Linked DNA regions of Saccharomyces cerevisiae S288C. Each later gene encodes a partner of the first gene's protein in a complex. Each region holds a gene or a part of one and is shown in the gene's direction. Other genes may lie near its edges. The genes, in order: SEC63 and SEC72.

Region 1 (4,669 bases):
AACTAGAGGAGAATTAAGCATTGAGACACATCCCTTATTGAAGAAGTTTTTCAATAGAAACGCGCATGGAAACTTTGATATATCTGTGGATAATGTACAGCACTATGGTGACTGGACTCCATTTCTGGCAAATGGAATTCCTGTATCTGTAATATCTTCTGATTCTACGAGAAACCGTGACACCCCAACTGAAACATCTGAGGATAAATTTGAACGTGTTGAGAAGATTCTGGAAGACGAACAGAACCAACAATCTGTCAAGGATTTGCTAGTATATCTTTTACATATTAGTATGGAATTGATTGATGACCCGCTACTTCATTTTGACATAATAAGCTATGTTGAAGATATCGATGAAAGATTGCAAAGGTTAGAGCAAGCATACCCTGAAAAACTAAACTTCACATCAATAATCAAAGGTTTGTTATTTTGGAAGAAAATCGGTAGCGAATGGGCGTCATGGACTCAAGGTTGGGAGAACATAGTATGGTCGCATGGGGATGGTATAGAGCCCTCCTTACTTTCAATTAATAGGTGGACATGGAATAAAAAATTGACTAATATTGGTAGAAGAACATGCTCTCCGGCGGGTCTACCTAATAGATCATTTTATAAGAACGTTTTGTTCGGACCAACATTGATACAGGAGGATAAATCTAAAAATGGTGGAAATGTAGATTTCTGGACATTTCCAGGAGTGATGGATGCGATTTACGATGATGACTGGAAGAGGGCTCAAGAACAAATTGACCTTATTGGCAAAGTACTCCATCAGTCTGCTGCATTGTTTGTCGAAGAGACTAATGACATCGGGTATAAATAAATTGAACTGAAAGAATACATATTGTAAGTATAAGGAAGTATGTTAATAAAATTTTTTCTTTAATTATGTAATACATGGCATGCAAGCATTTCTTCTTTTTGGGATGCTTTTCCTCTTAGTATCCTATGTTTGTATATATCTTTTTGTTAAATGACACGAGAGAAGGAGACAATAGGATAATTTTGAAATTTCTGTATCACAATCGTATCTAGTTTCTTCTCTACACCTTTGTTTTGACGCGATGTTTCCTCTTCAAAAAGCTTCCCAAGCAACTTAGATTTTCCAATCTCCTGATTATTTCGTTTTTCTTTAGAAGATTTTTTAGAATGCCTGTGCAAAGAGTGATAATCTTTAACTCTCAGGGAATGGTCGTCACAAAATCTGATATATACCGAAGAGACTTCTTCTTCTACATCCTCTTCAAGAACACTAGGCCTAGTCTGCATCTTATTACTCCTACCCCCTAATTTGTCACTTCTTATAGTATTTTTATCGTGAAATATTATTTTAACATCAGCATGGTTTGCTGTGACTTTCTTGATCTTTCTAACGGTTTCTGCGCACTGTTGGTGTTCAACTTTGTGGATGCTTCCGTCTTTTCTCTTTAAATTATTGCCAAAAATTTCATTGTGATAGAACCTTAGGGCATATTTTCTTTTGCTTAATTTTAAACGAGACAAATTGTTCCTTTGCAGTACATATACCCTTGGTGATTCTTGGCAACCCTTGGGAAACCTTGCAATCAGTAGTGGTTTCTTTTTGGAACTTCCTGGACATAGTCCAGACGGTTCATTTATCATGTCCTCAATGTGTATTTCGGAGAGGGGGCTCAAGTTCCAGCGAGTATTATATTGGTGAATGTGAAGTTTGTGGACATGCCACCTCCTCTTTAATTTCCGGCCACTGAACAGTTGACACAGTCGAAAATATAGGTAAAAAAAATGACCAGATTTGGACTTTCTCGGTGAAGGTGGTGCTCTCATGCTTCTTTTCTATTTTGAGTTATTAACGTCTTAGCTTTATAATGTCACAATCTGACTTCATTACTGACACAATCGCTCTTATAACGCGAATTGGTCACTCGTTACGGAAAGGCGTTTTCTGAAAAATTTGTCTTGAACACGTCGAAGATCACTGAACGAATAAAAGATGCGACTGGAACAATAGTCAGTTATAATTGACCAAAGAAGGCCTTCGCAACAAAATAAATATACTGCATATTACAGCACAATGCCTACAAATTACGAGTATGATGAGGCTAGTGAGACGTGGCCGTCCTTCATTTTAACGGGGCTCTTGATGGTCGTCGGGCCTATGACACTGCTTCAAATATACCAAATTTTTTTTGGGGCCAATGCTGAAGATGGGAATTCAGGGAAGAGTAAGGAGTTTAATGAGGAAGTTTTCAAGAACTTGAATGAAGAATACACCAGTGATGAAATCAAACAATTTAGAAGGAAGTTTGATAAAAATAGTAATAAGAAGTCCAAAATATGGAGCAGGAGAAATATTATAATTATTGTGGGTTGGATCTTAGTTGCAATTCTTCTGCAAAGGATTAATAGTAATGACGCGATTAAAGACGCTGCTACAAAATTATTTGATCCTTATGAAATCCTTGGTATCTCTACTAGTGCTTCCGATAGAGACATCAAATCTGCTTATAGAAAATTATCTGTTAAATTTCATCCAGATAAATTAGCAAAGGGCCTAACACCTGATGAGAAAAGTGTGATGGAAGAAACTTATGTTCAGATTACGAAGGCTTACGAATCCCTTACTGACGAATTGGTTAGGCAAAACTATTTGAAATACGGTCATCCAGATGGCCCACAATCTACTTCACATGGTATCGCTCTACCAAGATTTTTGGTAGATGGAAGTGCATCTCCATTATTAGTGGTTTGTTATGTTGCGCTACTAGGTTTAATCTTGCCATATTTTGTTAGTAGATGGTGGGCAAGAACACAATCGTATACTAAGAAGGGAATACATAATGTGACGGCTTCTAATTTTGTTAGTAACTTAGTCAATTACAAGCCATCTGAGATTGTCACCACAGATTTGATCTTACACTGGTTATCATTTGCTCATGAATTTAAACAATTCTTCCCGGATTTGCAACCAACGGATTTTGAAAAACTTTTGCAAGATCATATTAACCGCAGAGATAGTGGTAAACTTAACAATGCGAAATTTAGAATAGTGGCCAAATGTCACTCTTTGTTACACGGTTTATTGGATATTGCTTGTGGATTCAGAAATTTAGATATTGCATTGGGTGCAATCAATACTTTCAAGTGTATTGTTCAGGCTGTACCATTAACACCAAACTGTCAAATCCTTCAATTGCCGAACGTAGATAAAGAGCACTTTATTACCAAAACCGGAGATATTCATACATTAGGTAAATTGTTTACTTTAGAAGATGCCAAGATTGGTGAGGTTCTTGGAATAAAGGATCAAGCAAAGTTAAACGAAACTTTGAGAGTTGCATCGCATATTCCAAATCTAAAGATCATCAAGGCAGACTTCCTTGTCCCAGGTGAGAACCAAGTAACACCATCATCTACCCCATACATTTCTTTGAAAGTACTGGTTCGTTCTGCTAAACAGCCATTGATACCAACTAGCTTAATTCCTGAAGAAAATTTAACAGAACCTCAAGATTTTGAATCTCAAAGAGATCCATTTGCTATGATGAGTAAACAGCCACTCGTCCCATATTCCTTTGCACCATTTTTCCCTACAAAGAGACGTGGGAGTTGGTGCTGTCTGGTAAGTTCTCAAAAAGATGGTAAAATACTTCAAACGCCAATTATCATTGAAAAGCTATCTTACAAGAACTTGAACGATGACAAAGATTTCTTTGATAAGAGGATAAAAATGGATTTAACCAAACACGAAAAATTCGATATAAATGATTGGGAAATCGGGACCATAAAAATTCCATTAGGTCAGCCTGCACCTGAAACTGTTGGTGATTTCTTTTTTAGAGTAATCGTTAAATCCACAGATTATTTCACTACAGATTTGGATATTACCATGAATATGAAAGTTCGTGATTCTCCTGCAGTGGAACAAGTAGAGGTGTATTCTGAGGAGGATGATGAGTACTCTACTGATGACGACGAAACCGAAAGTGATGATGAAAGTGATGCTAGCGATTATACTGATATCGATACGGATACAGAAGCTGAAGATGATGAATCACCAGAATAGATATAAGTGATTAGTATAGTTTTTCATTTTAGCTCTTAGACGTATATATTTCATCTTTATAAAAATAGATACATGTGTATACAAAGCAAAACCAAAAAAAAAAAAAAAATTTTTCAGCCATCTGTTAAGAAATGTGTTTTTTCAATAAGATAGCATCTTGTTCGTCGCCATTTACACCTTTTATGAAATTGTTGACAGTTTCGCCCACTTGTTCGAAGCCATGAGCTATAAACCATTGCTTTGTAAGATCATCCACTGCTGGTAAATAGACAAACACGTTATGTTGATGACATTCTGAGCATTTGTCTTCTGCAAACTTCAGTAATTTTGAACCGATGGATTTGTGCCTATAATTAGGCAACACGCCCAAAAATTCGATTTGAATGCCCTTGAGAGATAGTTCGTTTTGTTTTTTAGGAACTAATTTAGCAACCAAACCACCCACTGGTATTTCACTGTAATAAGCCATCTGTGTGAAATGTACATCCTTCTTCGAAGATGGCTTTTTATTTTTTGCAACTAAGCTATCCTCAGCGAATAATGCACTGAAGAAGGCATCTTGATATAAGTTTGGTACTGTCACATGAGCTAGTTTGGTTAGCATGCCCAAATTGTTAGCGTAAA
Region 2 (3,008 bases), on another chromosome or scaffold:
AACAAACAGAACCACAAGCTGAACAAGATCATTATTTTTGGCTTTCTTCCTCTCATCTTTTTATATTCGAATCCAGTACAATAAAGAAAAAGCAAAATACACTACGCACTCTTTGTAATCAGCCACACAAAATGCAGAATTTATTTTTTAAACAAAAAATACAATTGTACATAGACACGTCTTTATCTTTCCTATTACTACTATTCTTTTATTTCAATAACTATTACTTTCTAAGTATGACCTACGCTTCTTTGGTAAATAAATAATGATCCGTTTATGAAGGACATGCGTGGTTCGTCACCTTAGGATAATATCGCTCTGGACGAAAGCTCATCCCACCGAGATAGAAAAAAAATTTTCGTTTCTTTTTTCTTTGGCGAAGATTTTGAAAAATTTGAACTGTATGATCAACTTTTCCTCACCTTTTAAGTTTGTTTCGTTTTTAAACAGGAAGAACTGCTCCTTCAACATTTTTCCCTCAATCGATTTTTAGTCCAGTACAAAAGGAAAATCAAATAAACTCATTTATATTATAAATGTCTGCCCCAGCTGCTAACGGTGAAGTTCCAACATTCAAACTAGTTCTTGTCGGTGATGGTGGTACTGGTAAGACCACTTTTGTCAAGAGACATTTGACCGGTGAATTCGAAAAGAAGTACATCGCCACCATTGGTGTCGAAGTGCATCCTTTATCCTTTTACACCAACTTCGGTGAAATTAAATTTGATGTCTGGGATACTGCCGGCCAAGAAAAATTCGGTGGTTTAAGAGACGGTTACTACATTAACGCCCAATGTGCCATCATCATGTTCGATGTTACTTCCAGAATTACTTACAAGAACGTTCCAAACTGGCACAGGGATTTAGTCCGTGTTTGTGAAAACATCCCAATTGTCTTGTGTGGTAACAAGGTCGATGTCAAAGAAAGAAAGGTCAAGGCCAAGACTATCACTTTCCACAGAAAGAAAAACTTGCAATACTACGATATTTCTGCCAAGTCCAACTACAACTTTGAAAAGCCTTTCTTATGGTTGGCCAGAAAATTGGCTGGTAACCCACAATTAGAATTTGTTGCTTCTCCAGCTTTAGCCCCACCAGAAGTCCAAGTCGATGAACAATTGATGCAACAATACCAACAAGAAATGGAACAAGCTACTGCTTTGCCATTGCCTGATGAAGATGATGCTGATTTATAAGGGACAAACGAGAACAAGCTTTCTTTTTTCCCTACCCTAAACTGTATACATATTTACATTCATCTCGATATAGAAATTCAATAAAAATCCACATGATTTTGAAGATTTTATAATTGCAACAAGAAAACACAAACTAACTGGTACTCCTGTCTTTTATAAAACAGATTTAAATATATAACAAATAGTTGAATGTGAATATGCTGTGATTTAAGTATATTTAAACGTATTTGGCTTGTCTAATATTATATTTTTTAGATCGTTTATGGATCGTTTCAAACGGATGTAGGAGCACACGTAACAATTAGATTATATCTTTGAACATAAAACCAATAGCCTTAAAATCAAAGAAACGTCTCCTTCAACTTGCGTTAAAGGCATACCAAAGCAAGCTTATTCAACCATGGTTACCCTTGAATACAATGCAAACAGTAAACTGATCACTGCGAGTGATGCTGTTGTTGCACTATCTACCGAAACTAATATCGATCAAATAAATGTTCTCACTACATCTTTGATTGGAGAAACCAACCCAAATTTTACACCACAACCGAATGAAGCTCTAAGCAAAATGATCAAGGGTTTATTTGAAAGTGGTATGAAGAATTTACAACAAAAAAAATTGAATGAGGCATTGAAGAATGTTTCTTTAGCAATCGAAATGGCACAAAGAAAAAGAGCGCCTTGGGAAGCTTTTGCTATTCAGCTACCAGAGCTACACTTTATGCTTCGTAGTAAAATAGATTTATGTTTAATACTCGGAAAGCATTTAGAGGCGTTGCAAGACTTGGATTTCTTACTTGGTACGGGACTTATCCAACCAGACGTATTTGTCAGGAAGGCGGACTGTTTGCTAAAATTGAGACAGTGGGAAGAGGCTAGGGCAACATGCGAGAGAGGTTTAGCTTTAGCCCCAGAGGATATGAAACTTAGAGCCCTTTTAATAGAAACTGCAAGAAATCTGGCCGAATATAACGGTGAATAAGGTGCATAACCGAAGATATTTTAGCCTTTTCTTGATATGTCTCTATGCTACACACGACTACATAGCAAGAAATTTTAGATAGATTCAAAAACACATAGCAAGCCCATTATCATATATACTAAGGAATAGCCTTTATGAAAGGCTTTGAACTATACAGCTTGAGTATATGATACCTCTGCTTCCCAACCGCAAGCTTTTTTTCTTCGTGATGCTGAAAAAAAAAAATGGACATAGAAAAAACCTTCATAAATGAAACAGACCATTCATTACTCGTGCGGAACCAGTAAACACAACACGCCAACTTTCGAACTTTTGCCCAACATAAGATGTCCTCTCAAGCATTCACTTCAGTACATCCGAATGCGGCAACATCTGATGTGAATGTTACCATTGACACTTTCGTTGCTAAGTTAAAAAGAAGACAAGTGCAAGGTTCATACGCCATCGCCTTGGAAACTTTACAACTGTTAATGCGATTTATCTCTGCAGCTCGTTGGAACCATGTTAATGACCTTATTGAACAAATCAGAGATTTAGGTAATAGTCTAGAAAAAGCTCATCCTACTGCTTTCAGTTGCGGTAACGTAATTAGAAGAATACTGGCTGTTTTGAGGGATGAAGTAGAAGAAGACACTATGAGCACAACTGTCACATCCACATCCGTTGCTGAACCTTTGATTTCCTCTATGTTTAATTTATTACAGAAACCGGAGCAACCTCATCAGAATAGAAAAAATAGTTCAGGGAGCTCTAGTATGAAAACCAAGACTGATTACCGTCAAGTAGCCATTCAGGGTATCAAGGATCTTATAGATGAGATAAAAAACATT

Evidence for each region.
Region 2: the proteins of SEC63 (region 1) and SEC72 are in contact, whole or in part, in a cryo-EM structure (PDB 7KAO), measured with the Saccharomyces cerevisiae proteins. Residues at the interface, in NP_014897.1 of Saccharomyces cerevisiae: Pro367 (codon at 3,152), His390 (codon at 3,221), Thr391 (codon at 3,224), Gly393 (codon at 3,230), Lys394 (codon at 3,233), Thr397 (codon at 3,242), Gln520 (codon at 3,611), Lys521 (codon at 3,614), Asp522 (codon at 3,617), Gly523 (codon at 3,620), Lys549 (codon at 3,698), Phe587 (codon at 3,812), Arg589 (codon at 3,818), Thr600 (codon at 3,851), Asp603 (codon at 3,860), Ile604 (codon at 3,863), Thr605 (codon at 3,866); in NP_013395.1 of Saccharomyces cerevisiae: Ile138 (codon at 2,008), Glu157 (codon at 2,065), Arg160 (codon at 2,074), Ala161 (codon at 2,077), Glu164 (codon at 2,086), Arg165 (codon at 2,089), Leu167 (codon at 2,095), Ala168 (codon at 2,098), Leu169 (codon at 2,101), Tyr190 (codon at 2,164), Asn191 (codon at 2,167), Gly192 (codon at 2,170).

What each region holds. Positions count from the first base shown.
Region 1 is NC_001147.6:804,408-809,076, reverse strand, and holds SEC63 (protein-transporting protein SEC63), read left to right. Parts: upstream 1-2,053; coding exon 2,054-4,045; downstream 4,046-4,669. Other genes in the region: TRE2 (putative zinc metalloprotease), read left to right, coding at 1-823; OSW1 (Osw1p), read right to left, coding at 970-1,806; peptide alpha-N-acetyltransferase subunit NAT5, read right to left, coding at 4,170-4,669. UniProt on the Saccharomyces cerevisiae protein: Acts as a component of the Sec62/63 complex which is involved in SRP-independent post-translational translocation across the endoplasmic reticulum (ER) and functions together with the Sec61 complex and KAR2 in a channel-forming translocon complex.
Region 2 is NC_001144.5:718,959-721,966, reverse strand, and holds SEC72 (Sec63 complex subunit SEC72), read left to right. Parts: upstream 1-1,596; coding exon 1,597-2,178; downstream 2,179-3,008. Other genes in the region: Ran GTPase GSP1, read left to right, coding at 537-1,196; GCD7 (translation initiation factor eIF2B subunit beta), read left to right, coding at 2,505-3,008. UniProt on the Saccharomyces cerevisiae protein: Acts as a non-essential component of the Sec62/63 complex which is involved in SRP-independent post-translational translocation across the endoplasmic reticulum (ER) and functions together with the Sec61 complex and KAR2 in a channel-forming translocon complex.